Canis lupus familiaris: one gene and its partners. The protein of the gene in region 2 interacts with the protein of the main gene of each other region in a pairwise test. Links are inferred from orthologs where the notes say so. Each region holds a gene or a part of one and is shown on either strand. Other genes may lie near its edges.

Region 1 (4,410 bases), on a different chromosome or scaffold from region 2:
CAGCATTGCAGAGGTTATAATTTCTTGCTCTGCATTGTGTCCTCTACATCATCTAATGCACATACGGAAGCTGAAATAGTGACTGGCCATTTCTTTTCTCAATAACATTAAAAACAAAACAAAATCAACCTTGTGAGCCACAAGGTATTAATTCTGAGGACCTAATCAGTTTACTTGTCATAAAGTGCACATCAAGCCCTATCTGGAGCATTTAGCAGTCCAAACGTTTCCTGGTGTTTCACACCCATAGCAGTTTCAATCCTAACACCCGACCTGGAGCAGAGATAGAGGTAAATGGGTCAGGTGTAGGACTTAATTAAATTCGAGTTTAAGGTTCAAACACAAATGCCTTTTCATACAAGGTCATTGGTCAATCACAACAGTATGATAATGCAAAAATGGCATCTGCCAGGGCAAGAAAGCACAGTGCTTTCAGAAGTAGAAAAAGCAGTTAAATTGGAAGCCTTGCATTTACATTTCAGGCATCAGGGCCTTTTGGAGGTATGATTTTTCTATACATAGGAGCAAAAGGAATACTGTCCTCTTGATGCTCAATGCTATGTTTTCCGTGAAGGGCTACTGGCTGATGGGGAACATCAGTATGTTGAGGGCTTTTCCTAAATGTATTGAGTAGGTTCCCGGAGTCCACAGTGACCTCAAAGAGCAAGCTGCCTAGGGCGTAGCCAGGCCCTGAGGCAAGAAGCTGGTGCATTAACGTTGCTCAGCGTCCACAGGGTGTATCTTTATTAAGTAATATTATATATCATATGCTAGGGTGTTAAGCAAATAAATATACATAAAGAAATGAGAATCCACATAACTACATGACTAGTTTTTACCACCACTAACCACTTACAGTGATTAGGTTTTCTTCTGCCCGTGCCGGTGCAAAACCAGTTGCTTGGTGCTGCGGATGGGGGCAGTGATCCCTTTAGCGTGAAAAGCGGGTAAGGAACGCACGGCAGGTAACGGTAACCGTCGGGGCCCGGCACGTGTCAGAAAGGGTGGCTGCTGGGGGAGGGAGGTCCACCGCGATCTGCTGTTCTGTGCCTCCAGTTCTGGCAACGGCCCTCCCGGCCCCAGGCTCCAGGCGGACACAAGACATCTCGGGACTGGCGGGGCGGCGAGAGGCGGGGCGGCCGGGGCCTCCATCAGCCGCCGAGGCTAGCCCGGGGTCCCGCAGGGGCCGGGGCCGGGGCCGGGGCGGGGGGGGGGGGGCAGCGCGGGGCCGCGCCGAGCGCCGCCGCAGCAAGTTTCCGCGCACGTGGCCGCGGGGCAGGCCGCGCTCCCCCCGCCTCGCGGGCTCCCGGGGCGGCGGCGGGGCGCGCGGCGGCAGGCGGGGCGGGCCCGTGCGCAGGGCTGCTGGCCGCTTTCCAGGTCGGCGCACTAATACGGGCGATGAGGCTTCGCGGCTCCAGTCTGACTGACGCCGGCTGGGGCCGCCGCCGCCGCAGCCGCTGTCTCGGTCCCCGCCGCCGCCGCCGCCGCCGGGCCCTGCAGCCGCTGGGCGCGCGCAGCCTCGCAGTGAGTGCGCGGCGCTCGGAGCGGGCGGCTGGGGACCCACGGCGGGGGCGGGGGGCAGCCAGGCCTAGGGTGGGGGAGGGAGCAGTGGCACCGCGGGGACAGGTAAGCGATGCCCTCCCGGCCCGCTCCGGGCGAGCGCGCGCTTGTGGTGTGTGTGTGCGTGTGTGCGCGCGTGTGTGCGCGCGTGTGCGGCTGCGTCGTTCCCCGGGGAAGTCTCGAGGCCCTTCGGTGTGTGACTCGGTTCTTTGTACTCTGCATCCCCGCGGTTCTCGGTGGAGCCTGTGTGGGGCCGGGTGGGGCCGGGTGGGGCCGCAGGGGGCAGCTCGGAGCCTTGGCGGCGCGCCCGGGCCGCGGGCACCTGGGACCTGCGGCAGATGCTCGTCCCGCGGCGGGGGCGGGGGCGGGGGCGTGGGGCCGGGGCGGGGGCAGGGATGCGCGCTGGCCCCGGGCGGCCGGGCCGGGCACCGCGCGGCGGTCGAGCGCCGGGGACGGGCGCCGGGGACGGGCGCCGGGGACAGGCGCCGTGGACGCCCAGACTCGGAGCTCAGCAAGAGCGGGGGGCAGTGGAGCAACCGGAGTGGGGGCGGTGACTGTGACTCAGCCGGCCTCGCTGGCCTCCGTGTCCTGGGCTCTCTTGCTCTGCTTACCTTTGAGACACGCGAAGCGGGAAGAAAAAAAAAGTCCGGAATGTTGTTGGAGTGTCTCGGGCCGGCGCTTGGATCGTGTGGGGAGCTGCGAGGTTCCCTCCCTCCGCCCCCATTCGGTGCCCGCCGCGGGGAGAGGAGGGGGCGAGGCGGGGGACAGACGGGAGACTCCCTGACGCCAGCCTTGTGAGCGCAGGGAGGAGCGCGAGGGGAAAACACTTTCACGGGTGGCTAATCGCCGACCCTCTTCCCTTCCTATTCCTTCCTCCTCCCACCCTTGACAGTGGAAATTTCAGACGATAATTTAGAAATACTGCGTTGACTCGTTTCTGGGTTGGGAGGGGCACTCCTGAGACAGAGCCTGCAAAGAATGCAAATCTAGTTTCAGAATAAAATTGCTTGTGAATGATCTACCCGGTAGTTAACAGCGGGATGCACACGCGCAAGATGCTGTGGGCTGCTTTTAATGGATCCAGTTTACAAGTGCATTTCAGTGGTTTGCCGAATTTCTCGGATGATCTTTTGCAAGTGTGGTTTTTGCAGGAATAACTGTAAGGATACATAAGGATAACTGTAAAGTCATAAGGCATTTAATAGTGCCACCTCCTTGGCCATTACTAAGCAGAGCTTTTGGGGCATCCCTCTGAGTGAGTGAAATGTTCACGCTCCAAATCTATCTTCTGCCTCAGGAGTCCTGTCGGTGTGAGGGAATGCCATGGGATGTTTATATTTTAAAATAGCGATCTATGTTTAAAAAGGAAGTAAAAGTAAAACCCAAATACATTCTCCTAACTCCAAATTCAATAAGTGAATCTTTCTATGCTTGTAGGAAACCATGAACAAGATTTTGGACTGTTTTCAAGTTTGTGGTTTTCCAAGACGGACACTGCAGATAAGAAAATGATGTAATAGTTTATAAATAAGGGGCATTTTTAAATGTAATATGACAAAAGTTTAAAATAATAATATATCAGAAAAATAACATTTAGTGATAATAATTGCCTTCATTGATGGCAAGACAACTGTCTTTAGCAGACAGCCCTCAGCCTCTTAATCTATTCTGACACAACCAACTCCCATTTTTATGCTTGACTGGCTATCTTTGTCCCAGTTGTTTTATGCTTCAGCTCTGTGGTTTTAAGCTATGTTTAAGAGAGTGCCAACATATTCTTAATCTGAACAAACTCATTTTTATCAGTACAGTGTTTACTGAAGATCAAAGGTATAAGCAAATTTTAGGTTAAACGCCTAAGAACTTTATGATTCTCACATCTTTGTGAGATATCATCATCAGTGTCTTAACGTCAGCATGAACTATATGACTTTTCTCCCTCTAAAATATTTTTCTCTTATTTCTATATCTTCAGTTAATGGCTAATCAGAGAATGTTCACAGATGTCAACTACTACATCCCTGATTGCTCAAGACATGGTATGAGAAAGAAGAGCTTTGTTGTTGTTGTTGTTTTTAACGAAACCTTGCCAAGGATATCTATCAGTAATAAACAGCAGGCAAATTTGTTTATCCTTTCTGTCCATGTGGCCAGTTGAAGGAGAAAAGAAATCTGTCGAGAAATTATTTCATAAAGATTGAAATATTCGTTTTAGGTGTTGTGGATAGTTTAATTCCGATTAATGAGAGTTCAGTTTCCTTTGCCAGATTGGGAGAGCTGATGTTTCAGGAGTGGTCACTATGGCACTTAGGCAACTAACTAGTTTATATCTCACATTCCTTTTGCAATAAATAAAACAGCAATTTCATCATATTCGCCTTTAGTAAGTCAGAAATAGTACTTACCCGCAGACTGTACTTTGCTTTAAGGGAAAGTAAAGGTTATGGAAAATTAAGATCTTTTTTTTTTTTTAATTTGCAAAACATACTAATTACATTTTAAACCTGAGTGCAGATTTTGTTTATTGCTTCTAACATTTGGAGGGGAATTCAGAAACAGAGAAGCTTCCAGAATAAAAGAATAAATATAGCAGTACATTGAAAGCATGAATCTCTTCAAATAGTTGTAATTCTAGGCTGTTGGATTTATATTTCCTTGGTTACTGTTGCTAGTGAGTTGAAAAGTTATTCTAAAGCAAAAAAAAAAAAAAAAGCAAACGGTAAATTCATAAGTAGTTCTAATAGTTTGAGCATGCTTTATAGAGATTTTTTTCTGTTAAGCTGGTGAAGGTCCATGTTATGAGTAGTCCCATAACAAAAAATAAACAATTACCCCTTGGCAATAAACTAA
Region 2 (3,646 bases):
AATGACTTCTTACTGCTACTTTTAGAAGTTCATTCTTTGTACTTAAAAAAGTACATAAAGATATAAAATTGAATAGAACATTAAGCTCCGTGAACCCAGGCAATTTTCACAGTTTTGCTTAGTGCTACATCTATCTCTAGGTCCTAGAACAGTACCTGGCACATAGTGAGAAATGGCATTGTTTTACATTTGTGCAAATCTTTTTAATCTACTATGTAGGCTAATAAAAAAAACAACTGGATTTTCATATCTGCTTCTGTTTTGGGTCTGTTTCAATGTTTTGGCTGAAGTACATCAAGAAAATCTAGTCTCATACAGATACATAGTCAAAACGGGAACATTTTAATACTCTTTTCAGATAATTGTAGATATTCTTTGTTGATACTGCATCAAAACTCTTTAAGAGGTAGTTTCTTCAAGATTAGTTGCAATGTGCAGTTTGAAGCCATATCAGTGATTTTTGTAAAGTCTGTCTCTAAAGTCCTTTGTTTTGCATGTAAAATAGATCTTTTACCTATGCAAGATTTAGTAACTCCTGCATGGTTCATTTGGAAAATACTAGTTTGCTGTTTATGCAGATCTTCCCAATGTTGACATATTTCATTATGCCATACCACAAAGTCACATTCTTTAATATTACCCAGTTTCATTGCAAAAATTTTTAAGTATTGTGAAGTCATCAAACTCCTAGTAATGGATGCAACTTTTTCTAAATTTTACTTTTCACTTGAAAGCTTGAATGTTATCATTGGTAACAAAGTCAGCTGTTTTTCTTAAGTTGACATGCTTGCTTCATTCACTTACTGAGAAAATGTCAGTGAAACAGGCAAGTCTGTATAGTTTGCCATTTGTTCATCTAAAAATATAGGGTTCTATAAAAAAAATAAGTAGCTAATTCACTTTTATCACAGTGATACTTAAAAGACAAATTATATTTCAGAAAACCCCCAAATCTGTAAATGTAAAAGAACCAAAAAGAAAATATAACAAAATATTAAGTGTACTTATCTTAGGAAGATGGGGAAATTGTGACTTTTTTCCCCTTTCATTTTTCTGTAATACAGTTTTGTTGTGTAATACAGTTTCAAGTGTTATATAAAGATAAAAGTATGGTATTTATAGTATAGCTTATAGAGTCAAATGAATATGAATTATTAGGAATAGTTATGTTCTCTATTTTCCTTATTAGGATTTAGGCCCTGAATATGAAGATATATTTAATATTTCTTTGAAGTGGATTTTAGAAAATGGAAAAGATGTTGGAATAAGGTAAAGGATTTAATTTCCACTTTGACCACTTTGTAGTATAAGAAATAATTTTGACTCTAAAGTCTCCTTAATTATTTTTAACTAGGTGTGTTGGTTATGGCCCTGAGGAGCAATTGACAAACATAACCGATGTGCAGTTCTTACAGTCCACAAGACCACAGATGTCTTTCTGGTGTCGCTTTCGACGTGCTTTTATTACTGTCACCCACAGGTTATTGTTGTTATGCTTAGGTAAGTTATTGGGATGAGAAAGAAGATACATGGCAGTCTAGAATTTTTATAGCTGTGTTTCACCAAATGGCAGGGTTGAGAATTTACTTCTGTGATAGTTGCCATTATAAATCACATACAGAAGCCTTCACTAGGGTAGAGTAATATTGAAGCTGTTTTTCTTTTTTAAATAATGTCAGTATTTATCTAAGGGCTTAGAAAACAGTGCTATAAGTGGAGGTGGAATAAAACTTTATTATAAGAATGTCATAAAAAAGACATAGATTATCTTTAGAAAATAGAACGGGAAATATGAAAATTAAGCTGATTTTTAAAATGATAAAGTATAAATTAAGTTCATTAAAATTATTATTAATTTAAAAAATATAATTTACCTGCATTAAAATTTTTACTTGGGTTCCTGGATTTTATGTGACTTTTGATTGATTATAGAAATTTAGAAGATAACGCATTTCTTTCTTTTCTCTGTTTAAGTCCTTTAAAAATAATTTTCCTAAGATGTAGTATGTTTATGGTCTTTGGAAACCCACTTTTCTAATAGTTTAATGTGGCAAAGGAAAAAGCTTGTGAAACATAGTTATGCTGTTTTCAAAAAAATAATAGAATTTAAAATGTTCAGCTGTCAGCATCATGAAAGAAATGGTTTCTAGAGAGATTAAGTGAAGCTCTGGAAAATGCTCAATACTAAATTGTTCTATGTGGTTGTAATTTATGTAGGTAATTCAGCCTACTGTTATGAAGGCTCATTCCATTATCCTATTATGGCAGTTAAAATAATCACTGTGGAAACTGTCATAAGATTTCTCTTTTTTTGCTTTGTTTTGTTAACATCAGATTTAACGACTAGACCAATAACTTCAGGTGGCAGTGAATATTATTGAATGTCACTGAGCACAATTTTTCAAACACAAAACTTATAAATATTGCAGGTGTTGTGATGGTTTGTGTCGTTCTGCGTTACATGAAATATCGCTGGACAAAAGAAGAGGAGGAAACAAGGCAGATGTATGATATGGTGGTAAAGATTATAGGTATAAGTATTTGTAAAAATCTAAACTATTTCTATAATAGTAATTATGTGATAAATTATAACATGATCAATGATTGATTCATTTGTAAATTTATCTTTTCAGATGTTTTACGAAGTCATAATGAAGCTTGCCAGGAAAATAAAGACTTACAACCTTACATGCCTATTCCACATGTGCAAGATTCCTTAATACAACCTCATGACAAGTATGTTCAAAGTATTACGAGTTGAACTAGATCAGAATGTTGGTAGTATTTCTGAAGTTGTGAAGATTATATCGGGAATTGAAGCCTTTCTCAAGTAGAGCTGTTCTGTACAGGCTTTATTTTTTGTACTTAAACTCTCCTTCCTTTTTAAATTCCCTTCTGTTCTGATTTTGAGCAGTGTAAAGACAACTGGATTTCTAAATCATGATCACTTTTATACATTTTTTATTTTTATCTTCACCTTATTTCCTTTAATTTCATCTTCATAAAGAAACAGATAATAGTGATGTTTTGTTAATAACGCCTTAAATATTTTGTTAATGAAACTTTTTCAGTAAAAGTACTAAATAATGACTTCTTGAAAATAAATGATTCTATATCCTACTGTAGCATTCTTCACCATAGCAACACCTCAGAATCATTAGTGGAGTTGGGGAGGGGGCGGATTACTGATGCTTCACCTCTGAGGAATGAAATTCAGTAAATTTGAGGTGAGCTTTAGGCATCTAAGTCTTTTTTGAAAAAATTTTGTAGGCAATGATAAGGAAAATCAGAAATAATAATAACCATTGCCTTCAATTAGTAATACATGAAAAAGATTCCAAGCCAAGATGCCAGTAAATTTGTCATTTTGTTCACATGATAGAAAAAAAATGAAGAAAGTCTGGGATAGAGCTGTTGACTTCCTTGCTGCTAATGAGTCAAGAGTTCGCACAGAGACACGAAGAATAGGTGGTGCAGATTTTCTAGTTTGGCGATGGATCCAACCTTCTGCCTCCTGTGACAAAATATTAGTAATACCTTCTAAAGTATGGCAAGGTCAAGGTATGTATTTTTAAACAACAAAAATAAACATAGTGTTTTTCCAATTTTTTTCAACTACGAAAGTCTTAATATGTTTAAAGTAAAA
Region 3 (4,097 bases), on a different chromosome or scaffold from region 2:
GCAAGAAATGCTCTGAAACGAAGGCATTCTGTGATTTAGGTGCTAAGAGTTCCAGCAACAGGATGACAGAGTGACATCATGCAACTTCTGTATCATTCCACATGCTTTGAAACTTCGGATACAATGGAAAAGAAGAGAACAGGAAGGGAAGGGGGGGGGGGGTAGGGAAGGCCGGTTGCCACAGCACTCACGAAAACGATGCTTTCTCAAGAAGATGGTTCGGAGACGTGCCTCGATTTTCAGAAGGGAAGCGCCTCGCGGGCTATCTTGCACAGTAGATGGAACAATCGTTTGAGCCTCAAAATAAACAAAAGCCGCAGCTACTGTAGTTGTGGGATCCGGCAGGCGTTTGTTCCTCCTCCCTTCCTAAAGTGCATCAAGGAAACGTTCTCCCTTTAAGCCCTCATGTGTATAAAGCAACTAGAAAAACAAGCCCACGTCGGTCTCGCTCACACCCACTCCCCCCACCTTCCTCCAGCAACGAGCCCGAGGAACACTAACAAAGGCGGCGAGCGGAGTAAATGAACAGTTGTTCAACAGCGAACTCACAAATACACATGCAGTGAGGCAATCGAATCCGGTAAAGGGAAAGGAATGAGACGACACTTGGAGGCGCACGGGGTGTAGGCGGAAGAGAGAGGGGAAAAAAAAAAAAAAAAAATACGCGCCGCCGCCAAGCCTTTGAATAAATTAGAGGGAATTTCGGTGCGAACTTTCCTTGACCTCGACCCCCAAGAGGCTCGCTGGGGCAGGGAAAGGCCCCCGTGCGGGATGCGGAGGCGCGCGGGGCACCGGGGGCCCCTGGAGCCGGCCCCGCTCGGCCGGGCGCCCACCGCGCGGAGGGCAGCGCCCCGCGGCCGTCCCCCAGCTCCCGCAAGGGTCGCCCGGGCCGGCGGGACACAATGGGGCGGCGGGCGGCGGGCGGCGCGCACGGGCCTCGGCCCGGCTGCGGAGGGGGAAAGAGGGCGGGAGGGGAGGTCCCGCGGCGGCCGGCGCCGGGGAGAGGCTCGGGCGGAGGAGCGCGGCTTCCCCACGGCTGAGCCAACAAAGACGCGAGGAGAACGGCGCCGAGCCCCGCCTGGCCGGCCGGGCGCCACAGCGGGAGCGGGAGCGGGAGCGGGAGCGGGAGGCGGTGGCAGGTCCGCTCCTCGGCGCGGCCGGGAGGCGCCATCATGGGGGGGGCCCGGCCCGGCCCGCCCCGCGCGGGGAAGAGCCCCCTGCCCGCCGCGGCCCGCGTCACCGGCCCCGCGCTCACCCCACGGGAGGCGGCGGCGGCGCTGGAAAGCAAGCGCCGGGCGCCGAAGGAGGGCGGGGACGCGGCCAAGGAGAAAGTTGGGTGCGGGTCTGTTTCGTTTTACCGGGTTGGCGGCGCGCCCGTCCGCGCGGGCGCACGAGGGGCCGGACGAGCGGGGTCCCGCGGCCCCGGTCCGGCCGGCGGGGCGCTGCGCTCGCAGGGTGCCTCCCCGCGCCTCGGCCCGGGCTCGGCCGCTCGGCCTCCGCTTCCTCCGCCCGCCCGCCCGCTCCCGGAGCCTGGATTGATCTGGTCGCGCTGGCGTCAGGGAGTCGGAGCCGCCCAGCCTCCACTCGGCGGCTGCCAACAGCCGGCGCACTCGCCCGCCCGCCCGCACGCTCGCTCGCTCGCCCGCCCGCCCGCCTGCTCACACGCGCACCCGCGCGCCGCCGCCGCCGCCGCCGCCGCGCGACCAGGGATCCTCTCCAAATTCCCGGCCGCTGAGCGCGAGCGCGGGGCCGCGGGGCCGGCCACCTCCCTGCTCCCGCCTCCCCCAGCCCGCCCCCGGCCCCACGCCCCGTTGACTCCAAGGAGAAAGAAACCAGCCTTCTTTCCCCTGCTTCCTGGAGTCCCGGCGGAGCGGGCTTGGTGCGTTATCCTCACGTGAAGTTCGAGGTTTAGTCTTTATTTTCTGAACTACTCATCACCCGCCCACCGCGCCCTCCGAACGCTACCACCGCACCCGCGGGGCGCGTTTCTGACCATTCTCTTTCAGACCTCTCCTTTTCATGTCCAGTTTCCATTGCCCTTCACTTTTGCACGCCCCACAAGTTGCACGTACCCAGAACTGGATAGCCTAGTGCTGCTGCATCTGCTTACACCCACCCGTATCGCTGTTTTGTGTTTTGGGCCAGTTCAGTATGTGATGACTTGAGTGGGTAACGTAGTGGTTCTAAGTAATGGCAGATGCCACAGTGGAACTCAACTTTTTTTTTTTTTTTTTTTTTTTTTGGGATGGAACTCAACTTTTGATCCGATTTCTATAATCTTTTATATGACACCAACCCCCTAAAATAAAAACAGACTGGCTCTCATCTAACCTGATCTGCATAGACCTCGAACATATCTTTTGTAAGAATTAATTTTTCCCTTGGCTAGCTCTCTGGAAGCTGGCATGAAATCTTGGATAATTACCATAATGTTGAGTTATGTTTAGAGAGGAATGATTACTCTGAGGAATAAATTTCTCACGAACTCAAAGAACCATTACCACCAGTATAAAGAAAATATCAAAGACCGAAGGAAGTTAATGGTACTCTCCAATTGTTCATGCACCTTTACATGTCCACAGTCTATTTTAAATTCATATTTCTTAATTTATTTCTGCATTCCATGTTTAATTATTCAAAAGAAATGCAACAAGCCCCATAAGACATACAACACTTTGTAAATTATAGATCAGAATATTTCAGTTCATCTCTTTGTTAAGCTATTTGAGCACTTACTGGTCAAGTCTTGGGCCTCATCTTATTTTCCCTAAAAGCAGCATTTGACACAGTTCATCATTCTCTGCTCCTTGAAACAACAGCTGGCCTGAGCCTTGTGAAATGCCACTCAGATCAGGTCACTCCTCTGCCCAAAACCCTTCCCTGGTAAATAGAACGTGCTGTATACACAATGGAACATTATTCAGTCATTAACAAGAATGAGATACTGACACATGCTGCATGAATGAACCTGGAAAATATTGTATCACATGAAAGAGGCCAGATACAAAGCCCACATATTTGATTCATATTGAAATACCCAGAATTGGCCCATCTGTAGAGACAGGAAGTAGAATGTTGGTTGCCTATGTTTGGGAGGATAGGGAGATCGAGGAAGAGCGATAGCCAAAGGTTATCGTGTTTCTTTGGGGGGGGGGGCGTGTAAAAAATGTTATAAAATTAGTCTGTGATGGTAGTTACACAACTCTGTGGATATATTAAAAGCCATTGAATCGTGCACTTTAAATGGGTAGATTAGATGGCATGTGAATTTTGTTTCAATAAAGCTGTTTTAAAAAGATACAGCAACTAAATGTAGTGTGTGATCCTTAATTGGACCCAGGATTGTGGGAGAAGCTATGCAATGACAATAAAACTCACTTTTTATTTTATAAAAATTATAAAATTATTACATTTTAACCTACACATGACCTTGCTTAGTACAGTTCTGATCGCCACAAATGACAATTATTCACACTGCATATGCTATGCAATTTGATTTTACCCTTTGTGCAAGTTATTTCTTTAAATGGCGGCAATAAAAAATTGGATACTTTTTTCAAAAAAGGACATTATTTGGACAATTGTCAAAGCTTGAATATGGCTTGTGTATTGATATCATTGTATCAGAAAACCTTCCCGTGGCTCCCCATTTCATTCAAGTAAGAGTTCTCACCATGTGTACAAAGCCCTCCCTGATCTGTGCTCCCAACTCCTTCCTACCTGATCTCCTACTCTCTCCCTTGCTTACTTCCTCAAGTCAACCTGGCCTCCTCACAAGTCCTGGAGCAACCTGAGTCCAATCCCATCTCAGGGCCTCCACAGTAGCTGTCTCCTACCTGGAAAGCCCTTCCCACATGGCTGTGGGCCTTCCCTCACCCCTCTCAGGTCTTCATCCAACTGTTCCCCTCTCAATAAGACCCAGCCTGGCCACTCTATCTAAACTTTTACCTACCCCTCCCAAACACACATGTTTTGTAATCCTCTTTCCCTATCACTACCTAACTACTTAGCTGAAAGAACAGGACTTTTGGTCTGTTCGGTTCATTGCTATTCTCTCAGAGCCTAGAACAGTATCTGGCACCCAGTAGGAGCTTATT

What was found.
Region 1: the proteins of LEMD3 (region 2) and SMAD9 interact in binary tests that used the Homo sapiens proteins (3 or more experiments, as listed by UniProt). The link is inferred for Canis lupus familiaris from reciprocal best matches to the Homo sapiens genes LEMD3 and SMAD9.
Region 3: the proteins of LEMD3 (region 2) and SMAD1 interact in binary tests that used the Homo sapiens proteins (3 or more experiments, as listed by UniProt). The link is inferred for Canis lupus familiaris from reciprocal best matches to the Homo sapiens genes LEMD3 and SMAD1.

The regions. Positions count from the first base shown.
Region 1 is NC_049246.1:3,831,920-3,836,329, forward strand, and holds the start of SMAD9 (mothers against decapentaplegic homolog 9), read left to right. Parts: upstream 1-1,467; 5' UTR 1,468-1,524; intron 1,525-1,565; exon of another isoform or gene 1,566-1,626; intron 1,627-1,707; exon of another isoform or gene 1,708-1,752; intron 1,753-3,529; exon of another isoform or gene 3,530-3,599; intron 3,600-4,410. UniProt on the Homo sapiens protein: Transcriptional modulator activated by BMP (bone morphogenetic proteins) type 1 receptor kinase. SMAD9 is a receptor-regulated SMAD (R-SMAD).
Region 2 is NC_049231.1:8,180,381-8,184,026, forward strand, and holds part of LEMD3 (inner nuclear membrane protein Man1), read left to right. Parts: intron 1-1,189; coding exon 1,190-1,269; intron 1,270-1,354; coding exon 1,355-1,500; intron 1,501-2,429; coding exon 2,430-2,531; intron 2,532-2,633; coding exon 2,634-2,736; intron 2,737-3,382; coding exon 3,383-3,561; intron 3,562-3,646.
Region 3 is NC_049236.1:44,385,291-44,389,387, reverse strand, and holds the start of SMAD1 (mothers against decapentaplegic homolog 1), read right to left. Parts: upstream 2,843-4,097; 5' UTR 2,737-2,842; intron 500-2,736; exon of another isoform or gene 192-499; intron 1-191. UniProt on the Homo sapiens protein: Transcriptional modulator that plays a role in various cellular processes, including embryonic development, cell differentiation, and tissue homeostasis.